2 linked regions of the Arabidopsis thaliana genome follow. The protein of the gene in region 2 interacts with the protein of the main gene of each other region in a pairwise test. Each region holds a gene or a part of one and is shown on either strand. Other genes may lie near its edges. The genes, in order: BLH6 and KNAT7.

Region 1 (9,752 bases), on a different chromosome or scaffold from region 2:
TGGTTGAGACTGGAGATAACTTTATTTTATTTTATTATATCTAACTTGTTGCATGCACTATGGACTTCGTATATCTCTCTACTAACAGTCAAACACCTATACGATAACAAGATGCTGGTGTTCTCAAATTGAACATTTTGAAGCAATTTCTTTTAGGAAGATCCTTAAAGACAGGAAGCTGATTGAATATTTTGGAATTTCTGGATAATCCGAGATTTTAGATAAGTGACTTCTGTATAGCAAATCACGAAAAGAAACGTATAGCAGATCTAATGGGCTTAATGTGAATAAAGAGATAAAATGTAAACTGGCCCAACATGGCCCATCTTATCAATAACGATCGTAACAGAAGAAAGAGAACACAGATAAGGGGAAAAAGCCAAAACCCACCAGCTTAAATAAAAACCTTTACTTATCTTCTTTCTTCTCACTTCTCAGACCTCAATTTCCAAGCAGAGATGACGGTGAAGATAAGGCTCGCGCGTCTTGGTTGTAAACACCGACCCTTCTATCGTGTAGTTGTCGCCGATGAAAAATCGCGCAGGGACGGTAAACAAATCGAGGTGTTAGGCTTTTATGATCCACTCCAAGGTTCGTTATTTCTCCTCTATATACATTTCTCAATTCTCAGTAAAATTGAACACTTCCTAATGTCTCTGCTATCATGAATCTACTTGTACGTCTTCAGGCAAAGAAGATGCGGATAGAGTGAGCCTCAAATTCGACAGAATCAAGTATGTTTTTTTTACTTGTTCTATCATCTTCATATTCCTGTTTGCTTGTATAATTGTGTCAAGTATTTTAGGACACCAGTTAGATGTGAAACTCATGATTGTTTGATAAGACTGAAACACTAAAGAGTCTCTTTCTCGACATTATCCATATGATTGATTATTCCTCATGAATGTGTTTTCTTGTTTGTCTTTTAATCATCTTAATTCATTCTCTTTAGTATTCTGCAAGGTCATAAACTTGTTCTTGCCACAATGATGCTGCCTAATTGCTTAGATTGTGACAAATTGAGATGCTTTCTGTTGATTCTGTGTCCAAAACTCTATTTGCATAAGGCTACAATCCTTAATTCATTTGCTTCTCTCAGTCATGTTTGGTTGTTTCTACACCTAATGCATTTCATCTGGTGCAAGTTTTCTGTGAGGCTTGGTTTTGCTTGTATGATTGATTTGATTAGACTGGTTTAAAAGTCTAAATCCACACAGTTCTTGGTGTCTAACTAAACTTCTTTTTTATTTTGTGCAACTGTTGAAAGAAATTGATTTTCACTCTATGGTACTCGAATAATGCAGGTACTGGTTATCTGTTGGAGCTCAACCAACAGACACAGTGGAAAGCATGCTTTTCAGGGCCGGTTTGATACCACCAAAGCCTATGGTAGTGGTCGGTTCGAAAAATGGGCAGAAGTCTACGAGCCAACATGTTTCACCCATTACAGGTGAAATCTTGAACTAAGAGTGTTGATGCGTTGAGCAAGAAAGAGCCTTTTGTGTCTGTGTGAAAGGAGTTTATGTAATGTTGTTTAAGACTTTTCTGTTTATGTGAAAGGAGTTAATGTAATGTTGTTTAAGACTTTTGCTTTCTATGTGAAAGCAGTTTAATGTTATGTTGGTTAAGACTTTTCTGCAACAGAGTTTGGTGAATTTTTATTCTTTAATATGAGCATGCCTTTTTACATTTAACAATTCTCACTTTAGACTAAATAGGCTTTGGTAAGAGGCCCATATTTTCAAAAATAAGATTCATTCTCAATATCTGGATTGTATGCTAAAAAAAGGAATTAGGCCCATATTTGCTCAAAAAAAAAAAAAAAAAAAGTTATCTGCCTGAATATGATCTTGGACATTAGAACCTCGTTCTTACCTTTTATGTATATCTTTACTTCTACATGGTAGTAGTTATATAATCTCGTTGATCTTGAAATTAGTTCTTATTCTCATATAGGTCTGAAACTCTTATATTGCTTCTCTTCAAAATTTTGTTCCGTCTTTTTGGTTTCAATATCTGCCAAAATGTATTTGTATCGTCTATATGTGTTAAAAACACATGCAAGAGACTAGTAACTAGACAATAATCTATTTCAAACTAAATTGGTCTTCTAATAAAAATGTTATAGTTATGGAAAAAAGGATGTGTCTTTGGGACATTACAGCTCTATTGGGCCAACAAAATCTCTCGCTTCGTATCCCATTAGATTCTCTCTTTCTCTCTCTCTCTCTCTCTTCCTTCAGAGATGTTCATTGTTCGTATTATTACGGCATCTCTGGCTCTGACCCTCTCGCTGCAACATCTGTCCCTATTCAGACAGCTATACCTCTATTTTCATTCTACACCTAATACTTTATATTTCTTCAAAAATCCACCCTGATCAACTTCCTATCACTATCTAAGTCATTCTCATTATCTTTGTGTTGTTGCTCTCAAGTCTCGCCCATGGAACTAACGATTCTCTCAGCCTCTAATCAGTATTGGACCCTAGTCTTAAAGATTATAGTAGTTACCAAGTTAGGACTTAGGACTTAGGATATAGACTTCTGTCAAACAAGAAAGTGAATGCTAAGTTTAGAAGCATTTGAAAGAAAAAGTACTAATCCATAAATATCTACAAGTTGTTTCCAGGAAAAGACAAAACTCAGTGGGGAAAACGAGCACTTATGGTGTTTACAAAATGAAAATAAAAAAGAAGAAAAAGTTGTGTTTGTTATTTTTTGGGACCCTTATTTCTTTAATAGTTGCATAGCCTCTGGACGACCAGAGTCCACGAATGTATAATCAGATACCAAAAAAGTATGAAAGAAATATATAAAGAAAAGGAAGAAGAAACAATCATGGCTTGGCTTACTTAAAAAGTAAAGTAGCTAATACTCTTAATCAAAACTCACATAATAAACATTAGTTATGTGTTTATAATGATAAGTTAATGACCTATTCATCAGAAAAACAAGTTGTGATATATATACTTAATCAAAATTCACCACGATCTACTAATCTGCTAAATTTTTATTGTTTACTTGCAAAATAAACTATATAACTCAACACTTCCGAATTTAAATTTAAATTTAAGATGACTTTATGTCAAGAAGCTAGTAGCATCTTTGATTCTTTGTACTTTTCAACTTAAGTAAAGAAAATAGAAATGTGATTATATGGAGGATATTGATTTAATCAATGTGTAATTAAGAGACAGAGAGTGATAAGGATTGGGATTAAGATTAGGTTTAGGATTGGGAGAAAGATGAAGAGAGAGGGGTTTAGGTCGACCAACTGGTTGTTAAAGATAGAAACTCCTTAACCATACATTTATATAACATTTTCACAATAATTTTCTTCTCTTTACCAAAGACTTGACTCCAGGAATCAATAAGCAAGAAGCAGGAGGTTCAAGCACCAACCAGATTATGGCTTTCTGAAGCAATATCTTCAGAAAACAAAATAAAGTTTTTATTTGATTTTCTTATTACCATATTATATACTATTAAATAAGAAATTCAAAGTTTTTTTTTTCCATTCTTTCTTTCTTCCGGAGGAGGGAGAGTATGATATGGGTCTTTCACGTGTGACATTGATGAGATGATGAATTCAAATTATATCTCATACCAAAAAAAAAACACAACCAAGAGAAAGAGGCGTAACCTTCTGATTTCTTTCTTTTAAGATATCAATAAAATCTTTCACATTTTCTAATTTTTAATTCTTTTCAAGATTTTGTTGTCTCCTTCAACAATCCATCAGAAGTAGCAGTTTGGTTTCCAGGTAATTTACTAATCTTTTTATTTCTATACAATTCTTCTTTTTTTTTTGTTGTCTATGGATTTGGCTTGCATCTCCATAATTGCATGCATAACCATATATTCAAGACATGTTGAAATCTTACATGTTTCTTAGCAATACACTGATTATATGGATCCTGCTCTGTTTCAATTGTTTTTGAATCTGTCTTTAATGTCAAGCATTTCCTCCATAAGGTTAAGTTCTTACGACCTGATCAGAAAACAAGGGACTATGGAACTCAAGTGAGCCAAAAAGAACACTCCATTTCGATGGAGAATTATCCAGAAACACAGTTTATTCCCGGAGATTCAATGATCCAGAATGCTATAGTTTCTTACTCTGAGGAATCAGCCGGTAGAGAAAGAAGAACTGAAGCTAACAATGTCTCAGCCTCACAAGAGAGGCAAGCATTGTCCAGATTTGGGGGAGTTCCACAAATGCAGAACATTGGTCAAGATTTCGGTTCTTGGAGAGATCAAGCGAGTGACAGGAACGGTTTCCAGCTAATGAGCGCGATGGCAGGTGCCACGGGGATTCTTCAGACCGGTCAGGGACTGTCCCTTAGCCTTGGTTCACAGATTCTTCCAGGAATTCATCAGATAAGCCATCAAAATATGGCGCCGAGAGGCAATGAGTATGCAACACAGAGTTTTCCGGGCGGGAATCAGAACTTGGATGTTGTGAGAACAATTCCCAACTCAAAGTATCTTAAGGCGGCTCAACAGCTTCTAGATGAGGCTGTTAATGTAAAGAAAGCTCTAAAGCAGTTTCAGGCAGAGGGAGATAAAAACAATGAGAACCCTCAAGAACCGAATCAGAGCACTCAAGACTCGAGCACGAATCCTCCTGCGGACATCTCTCAGTCGGAGAGACAAGAAATGCAGAGCAAGTTGACAAAACTCTTGTCAATGTTGGATGAGGTAATAACTTGAGACCTAATCTTCTTAATTTGATCATGTGATGGTTACCTTTTATAGGCCTTTTGTTATAATATTTTAAATGCAAAAAAGCATACATTTAAATAAATTGCAGCCATAATGTTGTTACATTTGGTATATATAGGATATGTTGAATATTTAAGAAAATGAGATATTTCTTGATTTTGGTAAAGGTGGATAGAAGATATAAGCAATATTACCAGCAGATGCAGATAGTTGTATCCTCGTTCGATGTGATAGCTGGTTATGGAGCAGCTAAGCCATACACAGCACTCGCCCTTCAAACAATTTCTCGCCATTTTCGTAGCCTAAGGGATGCGATATCCGGACAAATCCTCGTGCTACGTAAATGCCTTGGGGAACAACAAGATGGATCAGATGGGAAAAGAGTTGGGATTATAAGCCGGCTTAAGTACGTTGATCAACATTTAAGACAACAAAGAGGTTTTATGCAACCTCAAGCTTGGAGACCTCAACGCGGTCTACCTGAAAACTCTGTTTTGATTCTCCGTGCTTGGCTCTTTGAGCATTTTCTTCACCCGTAAGTCTCCCTTGAATCTTATCTCCACACATTTTCTTCATAAATAGTGATGATTACTGTTTGAAAACATGAATAGTTACCCAAAGGATTCTGATAAGATCATGCTAGCAAGACAAACGGGCTTGAGCCGCGGTCAGGTAAGGAATGTTTTATTTGAAGATTGTTTCTTTCTCTTCATAGTATAGTTTATTTATTGATTGTTGTGTGTTTTATGTTTGTAAAAGGTTTCAAACTGGTTCATAAATGCACGAGTGCGTTTATGGAAGCCAATGGTGGAGGAGATATACAAGGAGGAATTCACAGAGAATGATTCCAACTCGTCTTCCGAAAATACACCGAAAATGTCTGAGATAGGACCTGTTGCTGCTGATGATGAAGATCGAGCTCGAGAGTTTTCACAAGACCAGACCAAACCGGACCATGGACATGGATATGGCGAGGAAACTCGTGGCATGGTCCAAGGCAGTCATATGGATGGTCGCCGGTTCATGGCAGTTGAGCCTACATATCATGTGGCTGATACGTCAAGATTGGGTCGTGGTGATGTGTCCTTGACTCTAGGGCTTCAAAACTCTCAAGGACAGGACAATGTTGTGGCTATGTCTAGTGAGGCATACAACAACTTTTCCGGGGTGGATATTTACGAGAATGCCATCCCGGGAGATGAAATGGAGTATGTAAACCCCGGAAGTCGCCAGAACCGGATAAATTCTTCACAATTGGTACATGATTTTGTAGCTTGAAGAAGTAAGCAATGGAGAGGAATAAAGCATAGGTGTGATGAACTTATGATCAGTCTCAATTCTGTAGTGGAAGAATGTTGGTCAGAAGAAAAAGTTTTAGAAATATTTGTATAAAGTAAACATTCTTTTGTACAAGAATATAAGTGAGGTTAGGTCATTGGGACCAAACAGAATATGGTAAATGCAATTTGAGATCTGCAAGAGATGGACATTACACTGTAGACTTATTATCTTATCACATCTACGAAACTGCAACGTTCCCAATTCTCTTCTCTTTTTTTTTGTCTGGCACATATACAATCTGTATCCGTTTTCAGAATTAATCGAATATTTCAATATTAATTTTGATCATAAGGATTCTATCAGATAAATTGTAATATTCATCTAATGATGACTATTCACCAAATTTACATTCTGCATGATAGCAAAGAGCACTATCTAATCATTAATTTACTAGAAAACATATCTTGAAACTTATATATATGATTATCATTCAAACTTATTGCAGTGTTAGTATTTAGGTTTACATATATTATACATCTCAGAAAGTCTGGCATCTATATATAGTCGATCGGTGATATGCATGATCAGTTGGGAATAAGCTTGAAAGGAGGTCTCACGAGCTTTGGTTTAGGACTGGAGTGGCCATAGTCTCTTGAATTCATTCTCAGAATTCTCTCATGCTCATGTATTCTTCTTTCTACTACCTGTCCACAAATAGAATGTATTCACCAACGTACAAAATTGTTCTTGAAATCATATAACTACGATCTTGATTATCAATTTGTTCGGTTTTTTACTAAGTAAAGATATACAACGCACGGTAGTTGGCAACTTTTTTTGGAGTTAAAACGAATACCTCGGGATGATCATCTTCTTGGCTATAGATTAAAATGGATGATCGGCCTACAAAAAAGAAAAAAAAAAGAGACTTAAGCTTGTCTATTCTTTATATCCAAGATTAATCAATCCAAATAACACTAACGTAACATACTATGTCGTTAATTTTCTCCTTTAGTCGTCATTAACACACATGTGGAGAGCACAAGCTCTTAATGTTATTATCTTACTTTCTAAAAGACTGATCTCAGTAGGAGGCACATGAAGTTGCAGAGAAAAGCTGCAAACAAAGGAATATAAATATGTAGATAGAGAGAGAGAAAAAAAAGTAAGAAACAAACCTGCAGAACAGAGAGCAAACGCTGAAGCTGAAACTAGAAGAAAGATGATGAAACCTAGTTTCTTCACCAATGGCAACAAACCCATCTTCTTTCTCCTTTCAATTTTTGATGTGCCTTAAGCTGTATCTTGTGTATTTAGATACACGTACCTTATCAAAAAAAAGAGAAGCCAATGCGTTTGGTATATCACTATATATAATCTCTAAAGAAATAACACGATTAAAAGTTAACTAATTTGTTTAGCCAACGTGAATGCTTTAAATAAAAAGCAACAATAAAAACCGGTTTAAATAGAGATTAGCTTGAGTTTCAAAATTAGATTGTATCAATTACAAATAAATAAAAATAGTAAAATACCATAACAACAATTGATTTATCCATCATTTAATTAATGCAAATATCTCTTAATGCTTTTAATTAAAAAAATTGTTCATGGAAATGGTGGGATTGGAGAAAAAGTTGAAAGGAGACTACTTTCCTATTGTTGGCCACAATAAGTCTAAAGAGGTTAGTGACCTGATTATTTAATATGAGTGCCTTCATTATCATAACCCAATTAAATTTACCAAATCATCATAATTATATTGTAGAATCCTTGAAGACTAGGTATTCAATATCGGTCAAAGTTCCATTCCTATTCTCCAATCAAGAGATATCGCTAGCTATAACCAACTGAATAATGTACGATTAGGCCTCTATAAATCTGATAGTGATATACTATATATGATACACTACTTCGTTTAACTCAAATTAATCGATCATAACATACTTACTGAAAGATAGAGTCATAAATTTTTCTCATAATTTTTTGCTAAAAAGTGTTAAACTTAAATGAATTGCTGATTGAGATTATGGAAAAAAGAGAACAAAGTTGTTTAAACTTTGCTTCGATGCACTGATTCGTCACACAATGATAAATTAAATGGATTACTGATTAATTGAGATTATGGAAAGAGAACAAAGTTGTTTGAACTTTGCTTTAATGAACTGATTCGTCACTATAATTAATGTTCGACGTATTATTTTATGGTTGCACATAAAAAGGAGTAAAGATGATGTAGTGGATGATGACCGTACCCTCACGATTCTTAATTTCAGTTTTGTTTGTTTTATTTATTTATTTTTGTTAAAAATTTCAGTTTTGTTTTGTCACTAATTTTTTTAAGGCTGGTATGAGTGCACGTCCTAACAAGAAACCACAACTCATTTAGAAGAAAACCGGCCTAATTAATTTTTTAAATGGAACCAAATTCTGGATTAGAATGTTATAGATAGCATAATTTATCTTGTTAAACACCGCTATATATTTTTCTATTACAAAATGAGAGTCAAGCTGTATATTAATACAAAACAATCATAGTAAACCTGTTGGGCCGGTTAAACTCTTGAATGGGCTTCGTAGTTAGTTAGTACACGTAATAGACATTAGAATCAACAACATACTGTACCATTAACATTTGCCTCGGGCCTATGTTTTAACTTACTTGTGAGGCTTTATAATTGTTTTGTGCTTATTTATAAAAGGTTGGGCTTATATTAAGATGTTGGGCAAAGCTCTCTCGATAGAAACTTGCACCAAAACTTTAAATCCGGTATGAACGTGTGTTGCTGACAAAGTTAATACATGTAGATAAAATCAAAGATTTCTAGACTTCACGGGCTTTTAGGTATCCTTTCGAAGAAGTAGGAATTAGAGTTTGGTGTAGGGTTCTACTCATTTATATGGACTTGTTACTTGTAACATAGAGTTTAGACGAAACCATTCAACTAATACATTATACATGTATGGTTTCTCGACTCTATGTTAGAGTCTAAATACACGAGTGTGTGACTTTCACAATAAAGAGTTTAAACCTTAGAATTGAAATTTCGATTCCGAACTAATTAACAAGAAAATACTTGAACTCGAAGGAAAATTCTGTTTTGAGTATCGTCGGCTATGACTTTTTACTTCCTAGTACATAAATTATAAATTTTCTCAATAAACCATAATACTATTCGAATGAGATTGGTTTCTAAAGGACTCTCTTAGCCGCCCCTGCTTTTCTTGTCTCGTCGTGCAATTCCTTTGGAGCGTTTTGAATATTAATAAGGACTTTTCACATCTATGTTAGTCATTATTTTTTATTTATTTATTTTTATCTTATTTTTTCTTGTCAATAATACTGAAAGATTTCTATTAAGACTACGCATCAAAAGAGTTCATGGAGAAAATGTTGTTTCTAAATTAGGCCTTGAAAATCGGTGGCTTCCAAACCAATAGTTTTTAAAAAAACAATTATATAAATGTGGAGAATCTAACTATCCAGCTACAATAATGGTAACTAAATTTTATGCAGACATTTGAGGTTCGAAGCCTAAGCTACGCTTGGATTCAGGTTTGGAACCTAACATACATAAGTCAAAATAAAAATATAATTAAGTCACGGATCTAAAGGAAATGTGAAATATATGTCTGAATTCTCTGTTTATCAAAAAACATTACTTTAAAGTTTAAAGTTTTGTCATACTCGTCTTTTAATTATGATTTGATTTGTTTACTTTACTAACAAGGAGATGATTATAC
Region 2 (10,122 bases):
CAGATTCCAACAGTCAATACACGAGCTTATCATGATAATGATTATATGAATCAATAAGTTCTGGTCAAAGTATTTCATCTGGAACATTTTTATTGCTAATTTAACATCTAAGACCTAAGCAATCACAAGTATTGAAACCAAATTAGCAACAGGTCAAATCTGAATAATGTCCTAAGTAACTAAAGGGGTCAAAATGTAAATTAACGAAGCTCTCACAAGTCTAATCTACAATCATCTGAAACAATTTGAGAGCTAATCTTACATTCAAAAGTCAAAACCTCAACAATTCACACAAATCAGAACTTAATTTACTAAAAAATCTTAGATTTTGGGGTTTACTCAAAGAAGAAACTAAAGATACAGATCAAATCTGAAGTTATTCATAAATAAAAGGATTGAAAATGTAAAAAGTTACTCACCATAGCTTTGGTTTTAGAGTAGAAAGATCCGGTGAAATTAGGAGTATCCTCCTCCTTGAATCCAATACCCGACCCGAGAGGATGACCCGAATCATACTCAAATATACAACCCGTAGCGTAATTGATCAGAACAAGTCCTTTCTCTCTGCAAATGTCAGCGAGAGTTAGGGTTCCGGCGACATTAGTACGAATCGTCTCAACTTTGTGAGATTCGCACCAATCAACATTAGGACGACCGGTGACTCCAGCAGCGTTGAACACGTGGCTAGGTTTCACGGATTCGATGTCGGCGACGATCGATTGACGATCTTGAAGACGACCGGAGCCGTAAGTGTAAGTGATTCCTTGAGCTTCGCAGAGTTTACCGAGTAAACCACCGATCCATCCGGTTTTACCGTAGATTAGGAAGTTAAATGAGCTTGATGATGAACCGTTTGCGTCTGCAACCATTTTTTTTTTTTGTCGGTGATCGGAAAGTTTTCGCCGGAGAGATATAAGAGAGAGTGTGTGGATCTGAAGGAGATGGTATAGGGAGACGTTGTGATCGGTGTTGCTTCTTTTTATCCCAATTTCTCGGGGAAGCAATAATCTTTTTAGTTTTTTTCTTTTGACCACCCATCGTTTCTTATTTGAGATTTGTGACCCATGAGTTTTTTTTCATGAATATTTTAGGAAATTGTTAAATTTAGGTGACATTACCAAAAATTAAGCAAAACATGTGTAGATAATTGGAGTAGTGATAAATTTTTGTTATTGAATTTAAGAAAATGTTTTCATTAGTACTTATACAACTAGTTAACTTAAATTTAACATAAAATAAACAAGTTATCCCGTTTTTAAAATTATATGATAAAAATAGTTCTATGGATAAAAAAAAATGCTATTAATATTTTTATAAGAAAACTTGTTATTATGTATAAATTTGTTGTTACTTTATACACTTTTAATAGCATAATGTAGAACTTTTATTCAGTAAATATAAGAAGACTTTATAAATTTTATTTCGTGGAAATGTCATTGAAAAAAATGTGTTAGTAGGAATAACAAAAAATTATTTCAATATATGAATATAATATGTGACAGATCACCCTAAACATGAATTATTGTGTTTCGTAGTGGTTTTGTGTGTTTAAAATAGTTTATTGTTGTCTGAATTTTAGACAGAGATCTGTGAAAGCGGTGGCGTGAGAAATTATTAGTTAAACACAAAGGAGATTCCACTTCATTGGGTGTCTGAATTTAAAATATGTATTATTCGTTGCAATTTTAATTAAAGAATCTCTTTTTTTTCTTTTTACCACCCTTTTTCTGGTCAACTACTACTCATACTATTTTTTAATAGTGAAAATTAAAAAGTTCGAAGAAAAAGAAAAAAACACTTAAAACACGTTACTGTTTTGAATTTACAATTCACAATTATCGACTATAAATGCGTATATTATATTAAGCATCCGAATCTTATGAGATCAAAGAGCTAACTTAGCAAAAGAACCCGTTAACGAATCGGTAACCCTTTAAACATAGTATCATTTCAATAAATATACAGATACATCTCAATTACAAATTAATGTAGTGATTTATATCATATTCATATGTACATAATTCCACCGATTTTTGGTACTAAATATTGTAATTGCAAAGTTTCTATATATATTGTAATTGATTTGACATCGAAACTAATGAGGTTTAAACCAAAGATCTGGATCTATACAACATTTGATATATTAAGCATATAAAACTCCAAATGTACAAATCCCCCTGCCCTTAAATACCATACACGTTATCGAAAATATATACGTATGTCACTAACATTCATTTATTAAGCAGTCAGTCCAACTTCTTTTGTCAAATTAATTAGTAGTTTAATGTTATAGTAATCGGGGGTTACCATAAGGCATAAAGTAATGTCTTTACTTTTATATATATATATATAAACAGATCGGATCTTCTGTCTGAATCGTAGTGGACAAATGATGGCGGCATGTGGTGACTTTTCTAAGATAGTAAGATCCCAAGTTCTCAATCTCAAGAGCTATTTTTTCTTTTTTAATGAATACATCATATATCTATTTCTCGGTCTAGTTGTGTTTGTAAACTCGTTTGAAAATATTAAGTTACACAAATCTTGGTATCAAATAAAGAACTAGAAAACTATACGTTAATTAGTTTTTGAGAATACCAATAATCTAAACTGGAATTAAACTAATCCATTTTTATGGACGATTTCTTTCATTGATCGGTCCAAAGATATTATGATATGGCTTATATTTTATAAAACACTGCCTTTTTTGTCGGCATCATTACTTTATATTTCCAAATGATGGTCTAGTCATCCACGGAAAACACGTTACAAAATCAGTGTTCTTACCAAAAAGATAAATTTGAATGCACAATACAAACAAAATGAATTACAATCTAGTAACAACCAGTAATCACGCAACGCACAAATCATATAGTAGTCGGTGGATCTAATAAGCTAAGTAAGTACATGATATTAATGATCACACCTCGTTATTATCAGTAACATGAATTACGTATGTATCATGCATGTCTTAGCAGTGTAATTAGTATGAATATATGTAGAGGTAGTAACTAATATAGTAAGAAGAGATTAGTGTTTGCGCTTGGACTTCAAGGAAGTGAGGGAGTGAGAGTTGTTGTGCCAATTCCTCTTGCGTTGGTTAATGAACCAATTGTTGATTTGCTTCAACTGCAATCCTGTCTCCTCCACCAATTTTGCCTTGTCATCTTCCTGTTCAAGACACATATTTTTTTACATTATAAATTTGTTGTTGTTAATGACATTTTAGGAAAGAAAACAAAAACAATCAGTTTCAGTTTCAACGAAGAGAGGCCAATGCATGTGCAGATCTGATAGCGTCAAAGGCTATTTCTTTTCCACTATAGCATGCAACTTTAGACTGTAGTCCACCTTTTTGGCTTGTGCCAAATATTGAACGGGAGAGAGATGTATAGTGTTTTTGAGTATTAGTAACAAATTCAGTATGTTTGAAGAATAGAAAAAAAATGCATGTTGTGACTTTGAGTGTAACCAAAATGGGTCTTGATTGTTTCTTTGCATTTACATATCTATCTTCATTTGTTGTTTCATGTTATAATGATTATCATATTATTTCATGAAAACGTAAACCCAAACAAACAATTAGACGGAAACTATATTTGTTGTTCGTAAAATATAGAGAGTACTCACCGTAGGGTAAGGCCATTTGCAATGTTGTTGCCACCAATTTTTCAAGACAGTAGTTGTGTCTCCTGGCAATTTCCCAGCCCTTCTCTTCCTCATTATCTCTTCTCTTACATCTTCGATTCTCGATTTAAAACCCTTATCCGAAAAATAAACAAACGTCATAACAAGAAAATAAATAGTAAAATAACTGTATTACTATTGTGAATCATAACATATTAGTTAATTATACCTGTTTGAGTTCTAGTTTGAGTTCTTGTCTGACTCTTTCCATAAGGGATCTTTCCGATTCAGTCGGTAGCAACGGACCAAATCCCGTCATATCGTGGCCGCCGCTAAAATCAACGCCGGAATTATCTGACGAGAAATCCATCGGAAGATCATCCTCATCCTCCGACATAGTCGCACCCGACCCTTCTCCTAAAGTTGCTCCTACAAGAATACAGAACGTTTTAAACGAAATGTTACTCCAACAGTCAAACTACAAGATTTAGACGTCAAGCCCAAGCCCAAACTTAGGCTCAAGCCTGATATGCCCTTACGCATACAATAATCCTAATCAATACATCCCACGCTTTACGTGGTCATCAGTGCAAAAATAAATATTTTTAATAATTTCGTATAATTAAGAAATTTCATCTTTAGACTAATCATATAATATAACTATATAAGCACAAATAAAATCTCTATTTCTTATTGTGTGGGCATATAATATACTCTTCCTGATCATCTTCCAACACCTTACATTTAATATGTTTACTAGTTGTTCATATCTGGTATGATCAGCAAGAACCTTTAGATATACCTAACTCTATTATTTGTTTTAACTATCGCTAATTTTTAACAGGAATTTTAATTATATATATCTTAAGTACTTTCTGATTCTATAGCTATGTGGTATATATAATAACATGTAATTATCATGAAGTTATGTTTTTTAATTGGGTTATAAAAAATACCATTAAAAAAGTGGAAAAGAAAAGAACCTGTAAGAGAATGAAGGTTGTTCTCAATTTCACGGCAAGCCATAACAGCTTCGACGGCATGAACCCTCACGTGCTGTTGCAGCTGTTCTTTGAAGCTACACAACACCATTACATATTGTGCCTGTTTCCAATTAATTATAATTGTTAAATGTTTTATATATCCTCTCACATTTCATATAATTATTCAATGTGTAAACATTTTCCACATATATGCATACACACATATAAATATGTGCTTCTGGTGTGGTGTGTTTTGAGCGGTTAGATCATTATATAGTCCTATTTTCTACCTAACTTAAATAAATATAAATAAAACCGAATTTTTTTGGAACATTTCACAAGCTAATTCCAAAATTATAGTTGCAATATCAATTCCAACTTTAATGCAATTGCAAATTTTAGGTCGGAGTAGAAAATCAATCGTAACTAACATGATAATATTCAAAGTTTAAATAGAATTTCAATTTAATTACAAAATGACATTTAACATTGACTCACTCTATGTGAAATTTAGCACCTAACTATACAAAAAACCATATCTACATCTATGTGTGTGTATTATACATTTGAACATTCGTGTGAAGATACATAAATTTCCATGAAAGTTGAACAAAACCACTTCTTCACAAAAATCAGGTAAAAAAATACCAATAACTTAAATCATTGGAAAAAAACATAATTTGTTTGAAGTATAACTTCCCACAAGAGGAATTAGTAATTATAAAATTTATAGAAATTGTTGATATATTGACAAAAGGTTTACATCTTCGATCGATAAAACTCCCAACGATCTTGTAAAAAGTAAAACACGAAAATCATTGAAAAAAACATAATTTGTTTGAAACATAATTTCCCAACAGAGATTGGTTAGTAATCATAACTTCATTCAAAGTTAGTCCACTAGAAACCATCAAAAAAAAACTTTCAAATGAAAAAAGATAGAAACAGAACTTGTAAGTAATTTAACCAAACAAGATTATTTTTTAAAATATAACTAATAAATTTATATTCAAACGTACCAAGAAATTATCGAGCTCGTGACGATCATGATGGTATCCAACGGCCGTGGAAGCGTAAGAACGGAGAAGATGATGAGATTGAGAAAGCTGAGCTTCAATGATCGGAAGTTGATCTATTGGAGTAGCTACTCTTAAACACGCCACGTGTGCGGCTAATAATTGCTCATACATCGGATGTGTCGCTATCTCACCTTTCAACTGTCTATTCTGCTCCGCCACGACCGCGGTGTCTCCGTCTCCGCCTACGGTGGCTCCCATCATACCTAGTGCCGCTTCTTGCATAACCTTGACACAAGACCGGAGAGAGATACTTTTTGTGTCTGATCAAAACCCTAATTCTTGAAGCAGATTGTGTTCGTATGATTAGAAAAAGAGAGAGAGAGAGAATTGTCAGATGAAATCAACCTATATAAAGCTGTCCTGATTTCTTTCCCCTTTAATTGTTTTTCACTCCATTCTTTTCTAAAAATATACATTATTTGTTTATAGATTATTTTGTCTTATTTGTATACAAAATACATTTAAAACAATGTTTGTTATACACGGGTCTGGTCCGGCCATACCATATATTATTTTTACATAGATCAAATTATATTGAAAGTATTATTTTTGTATTGTTAATCGAAAGACTGAAAACTAGAATTACTAATTTTCATCAGATATGTGAATACAAACACACGGACGTTGATTGTTTTATACGGTGATTGTTATCTTTACAATTAATCTGAATTACTTTAGTCTAGAAAACTGCTACTATATATATGTTTGATTCCACAATATGCTGATATATACCTTGACGTAAAGTTATGAAAAAAGTGCACGTTAACAACGTGCTTTACAAAAATCATAAATACGTGTATATGTATGTATATAAAATGTAAACTTAAAATAAAAATTAAAAACACTTTTATTTTCCTTCTCGTGACAATGATTTAAGACCTAATAAGTGATCAACAACTTGAACTTAAAAATTAGTTGAAATTTTGAAAAAGAATGAGGAAAATAAAATATCTTCCCACCTTTAACGACAGGACCGGTAGACACACCTAATCCTCTAACGCCCACTTAACAAATAGTATTAACACCTAATTGATAATACTATTTAATAGTATAGAAATATAGTATATTTGTTTTCTTCTTTTGGTAAAGAACAAATATAATTAGTTATTCTTTTAAAATATTAAATACTCAATTACGTGATACAGTTAAATTTTTTTGGACAAAATGTGATACAGCTTTGATGCACCATTTCTTAGTCATATAACCTTAAAACAGTAACACTCTGATAATTTAATTGCAGTATTATTTGATAGATAGAAAAATGCTTTCATATTTTTCCTAGTTTGATATGAAGTTAATATAGCACACAAACAATAGTTTGATATATGAACTTTAATATATACTAATAGTTTTTAGCTAGAATTTCAGAAATATCCATAAAACTGAAAAAAAAAAAATTGATGTGTTGTGAAACGTTGTTAAGTCCGGATACTCTTGTGGCATGGTTTTTTGTAACGTCATGTAATAGTTCCGTTCAGAATTACAAATCTTCTGAACATACATGTTGGACGTTAAAAAAATTATTTTTCCACTTCATCGTTTAAAAAAATATATTCTTAAATCTTCTGGTTTTCCTCCGGCTTGGCATATTGGAGCCAATAGCCATCCAAGTAGTCTTAAGTTTTTGCAAAAAAAAAACTGCAATTAATTACAAAAACTAAAATAATATTTCATCATAACAATGGAATCCTTGGTCGTTGTAATTGCATATGTTGCATGTAGTTTATATCGTAATAGGATTAGATCAAATATTTTTAATAATGCCAATAATACATGACACAAAAAAAACTAAAATAATAGCACATAATATATTCTATAAACAAAAATAAAAAATACAAATTAAAAGAGGATTTTGCATATTATTAAATGAAAAAGAGAATAATGCACGCCTTCACCAATATGGAAAAACTACTTTCCATTTCTCCCTTTTTATGTAGTTATGTACAAATTCCCTTTTGTTTTACGCAATGACATCAAAAATATTCGTTCGTATAGAAAAATGAAAGAAACAAAATAAAGAGGGACAAAGACAGAGTTGGTCGAACAAAGAAAAGAGGGACAGAATTGTCGTTCTCTTAAGCCTAAGATTTAAGACATCTCACATCTGAAACAATTTGTGGTCCTATGAAAACGACTTCTCAACTTATAATAATGCTTTTGACACAAAAAAAAACTTATAATAATGCGGCCATTAATCAGAGAACAATGAGATACTATTAGTGACACGATACTAAGTTTTAGTGATTTAATGTACGGGCCATATAATATTGTGAGTTTGGTGGACCTAAAAATAATTCTCATTGGGCACTTCATTAAGGTCTCAAAGCCTAAACACTTGTACACATGGGTTCGTAATTGTTTCCGTGTGTGATATTACTAGCATAAAACGTTTCCTAGCTATGTGACTCCTCAAAAAAAAAAAAAAACTACCATTTGATTAGAGGTAGATTTTCATCAAACATATTGTATTCTTATGAAGACGCCAGACGGCATATTTCATCAAATTATAATTCTTGATGCCTCGTTAATTAACGTGTAGGCAACGATCATGTTGTTTTTTTTGGTGTAAAAAATGACCATGTTTTATTGTTTATCAATGACTTTGAATGTAACTTTGCTCATTTGATTTTCTTTAATAGTTACTACTTACTACTAGGCCACTAGCGGTGTTACCTTGTAAATTCATCACCGTGAAAGAAAGAAAAAATCATCACCATACGTACCTTACTTGTCACCAACGAAATATATATATATGTCCCAAAACCCCCAACAACATGCATTTTAACATAAATTAAAACCGTTTTTACAAAAGAAAAAAAAAAGAAAACAATCCACAAAAACGGAATCACACGTAAATATAATTAATTAATTAGGAACAAACTCATATTCCATGAAACCTGGAGAAGTCCTTGTAGCAGAAGCAACGAAAGCCCTAGAATGCCCCACCATTGACACTACTCTAAAAGCTTCTTCTTCATAAGCTTTTCTCTCCATTTCTTCCCTTTTTGCCCTTCTTCTCCTTTTCTTTGCCGTCACTACAGCAGCCGCCACCACCAGCCCTAAAAGCACCACCCCCACCGTCACAGACCCAACAAGCCCTCCAACAACCTTCCTCCACCGTCCGATCTTCTCCTTCTTCATCTCCTTTTCTCCTCCACCATTCGATTTTGGATCATCCGTCACCACTAAACCAAAATGTCCATTGGTTTTAACGGCGCACACAAACGGCTTCACTTCGGCGGCAAGCGTTACTTTTCCATCAAGTTCAAAAGTAGCGCACATTGGCTTATTCAAGAACGTTCTCTCTACCACCGACGGTCCAGAAACGTTCCCAAAATCAACGTTGGATGGATCTTTAGTACGGGCTAGGAGGAGACTTATCTGATAAGAGCTACTCACGTTATTCCCTAAAACAACATCGTTTAATGCGTTATAAGCTAAGAGCCCTAGAACCGGAGACACAAGTCTATAACCGGAGAGATCATAGTTTTTGTAATATATATCGGACCACTTTGATCCCAAGCTTTGTCTCACAACCAAAAGACGTTCACCACACGGCTCAAGAATAGCTCCAACGCCAATATTGAATTCTTCGATTTTTGCTCCGTATCGTCGGAGACTCCCACACCGGAACCTAACGGCGTCAAGTTTTATGCCGGAGTAGTCAGACGGGAGATGAACACGCCGAATAACACCGGTCTTGATAGAATAATGTTGGTTCTTGAAGAAGTTGAGAGTGTAATCTCTTAGAATGAGATCAAGAAGCCTTGAGGATTCATTGAGAGCTTCTTGAGTAGTAGTAGTAGAAGTCGAACCCTCTAGATGAGAGGGAAGGAAGAGGAATAATACGATTATTATTAGTTGAATAGAGGGAGGATAGAGTGTTAGTGTTACCATTTTCGATATTGGTGGAGTAATTGTTCACGTTTGAATGTTGAGGTGATGAGAAGATGCGATGAAGAAGTGTAGAGGAAGAGTCGATCATGAGAAATGAGTTTCTCTTTTCTTTTTAGAGCTTGGTGAAGGCTTTGGATTGAAGGGACAGGTTTGCTTTTATTTGATAGATATATTTATGTATATATGTATATAGTTTTTATGCTACTCCATATGATTTCTTGGGGTATGAAACTGTAGGCGGCGTGAGATTGTTTTGAGTAAAGTGTACGTTTTATAGAATATATAATTTTCTATTTTTTAAATAACTGACGTTTCAATGTTTGTGTATAACGTTCTTTTACAAATTTTTCATTTTTACTCTAGTCAAATTTAATTTTAAGTATTAAATAGATCAGAATTATAAAACAGCAATTATTTTCTAAGAATGTACTATTATTGTATACAAACTCTCTTAATTCGCATCAAAATTTGTCAAACGATCTTTATATTAAACTGAAGTGAGTATCATACATTGGCGAATCATGATCATATCGTCT

The links.
Region 1: the proteins of KNAT7 (region 2) and BLH6 interact in a two-hybrid assay, tested with the Arabidopsis thaliana proteins (2 studies listed by BioGRID, with this or other methods).

What each region holds. Positions count from the first base shown.
Region 1 is NC_003075.7:16,526,799-16,536,550, reverse strand, and holds BLH6 (BEL1-like homeodomain 6), read left to right. Parts: upstream 1-3,188; 5' UTR 3,189-3,765; exon of another isoform or gene 3,766-3,977; 5' UTR 3,978-4,052; coding exon 4,053-4,703; intron 4,704-4,894; coding exon 4,895-5,262; intron 5,263-5,338; coding exon 5,339-5,399; intron 5,400-5,486; coding exon 5,487-6,005; 3' UTR 6,006-6,205; downstream 6,206-9,752. Other genes in the region: SSR16 (small subunit ribosomal protein 16), read left to right, coding at 459-591, 689-734, 1,305-1,467; AT4G34600 (uncharacterized protein), read right to left, coding at 6,593-6,712, 6,865-6,911, 7,187-7,271.
Region 2 is NC_003070.9:23,333,257-23,343,378, reverse strand, and holds KNAT7 (homeobox knotted-like protein), read right to left. Parts: upstream 6,213-10,122; 5' UTR 5,912-6,212; coding exon 5,630-5,911; intron 4,732-5,629; coding exon 4,611-4,731; intron 4,057-4,610; coding exon 3,857-4,056; intron 3,763-3,856; coding exon 3,631-3,762; intron 3,172-3,630; coding exon 3,031-3,171; 3' UTR 2,687-3,030; downstream 1-2,686. Other genes in the region: NRS/ER (nucleotide-rhamnose synthase/epimerase-reductase), read right to left, coding at 420-869; AT1G62981 (transmembrane protein, putative (DUF1191)), read right to left, coding at 8,555-9,586. UniProt on the Arabidopsis thaliana protein: May be involved in secondary cell wall biosynthesis.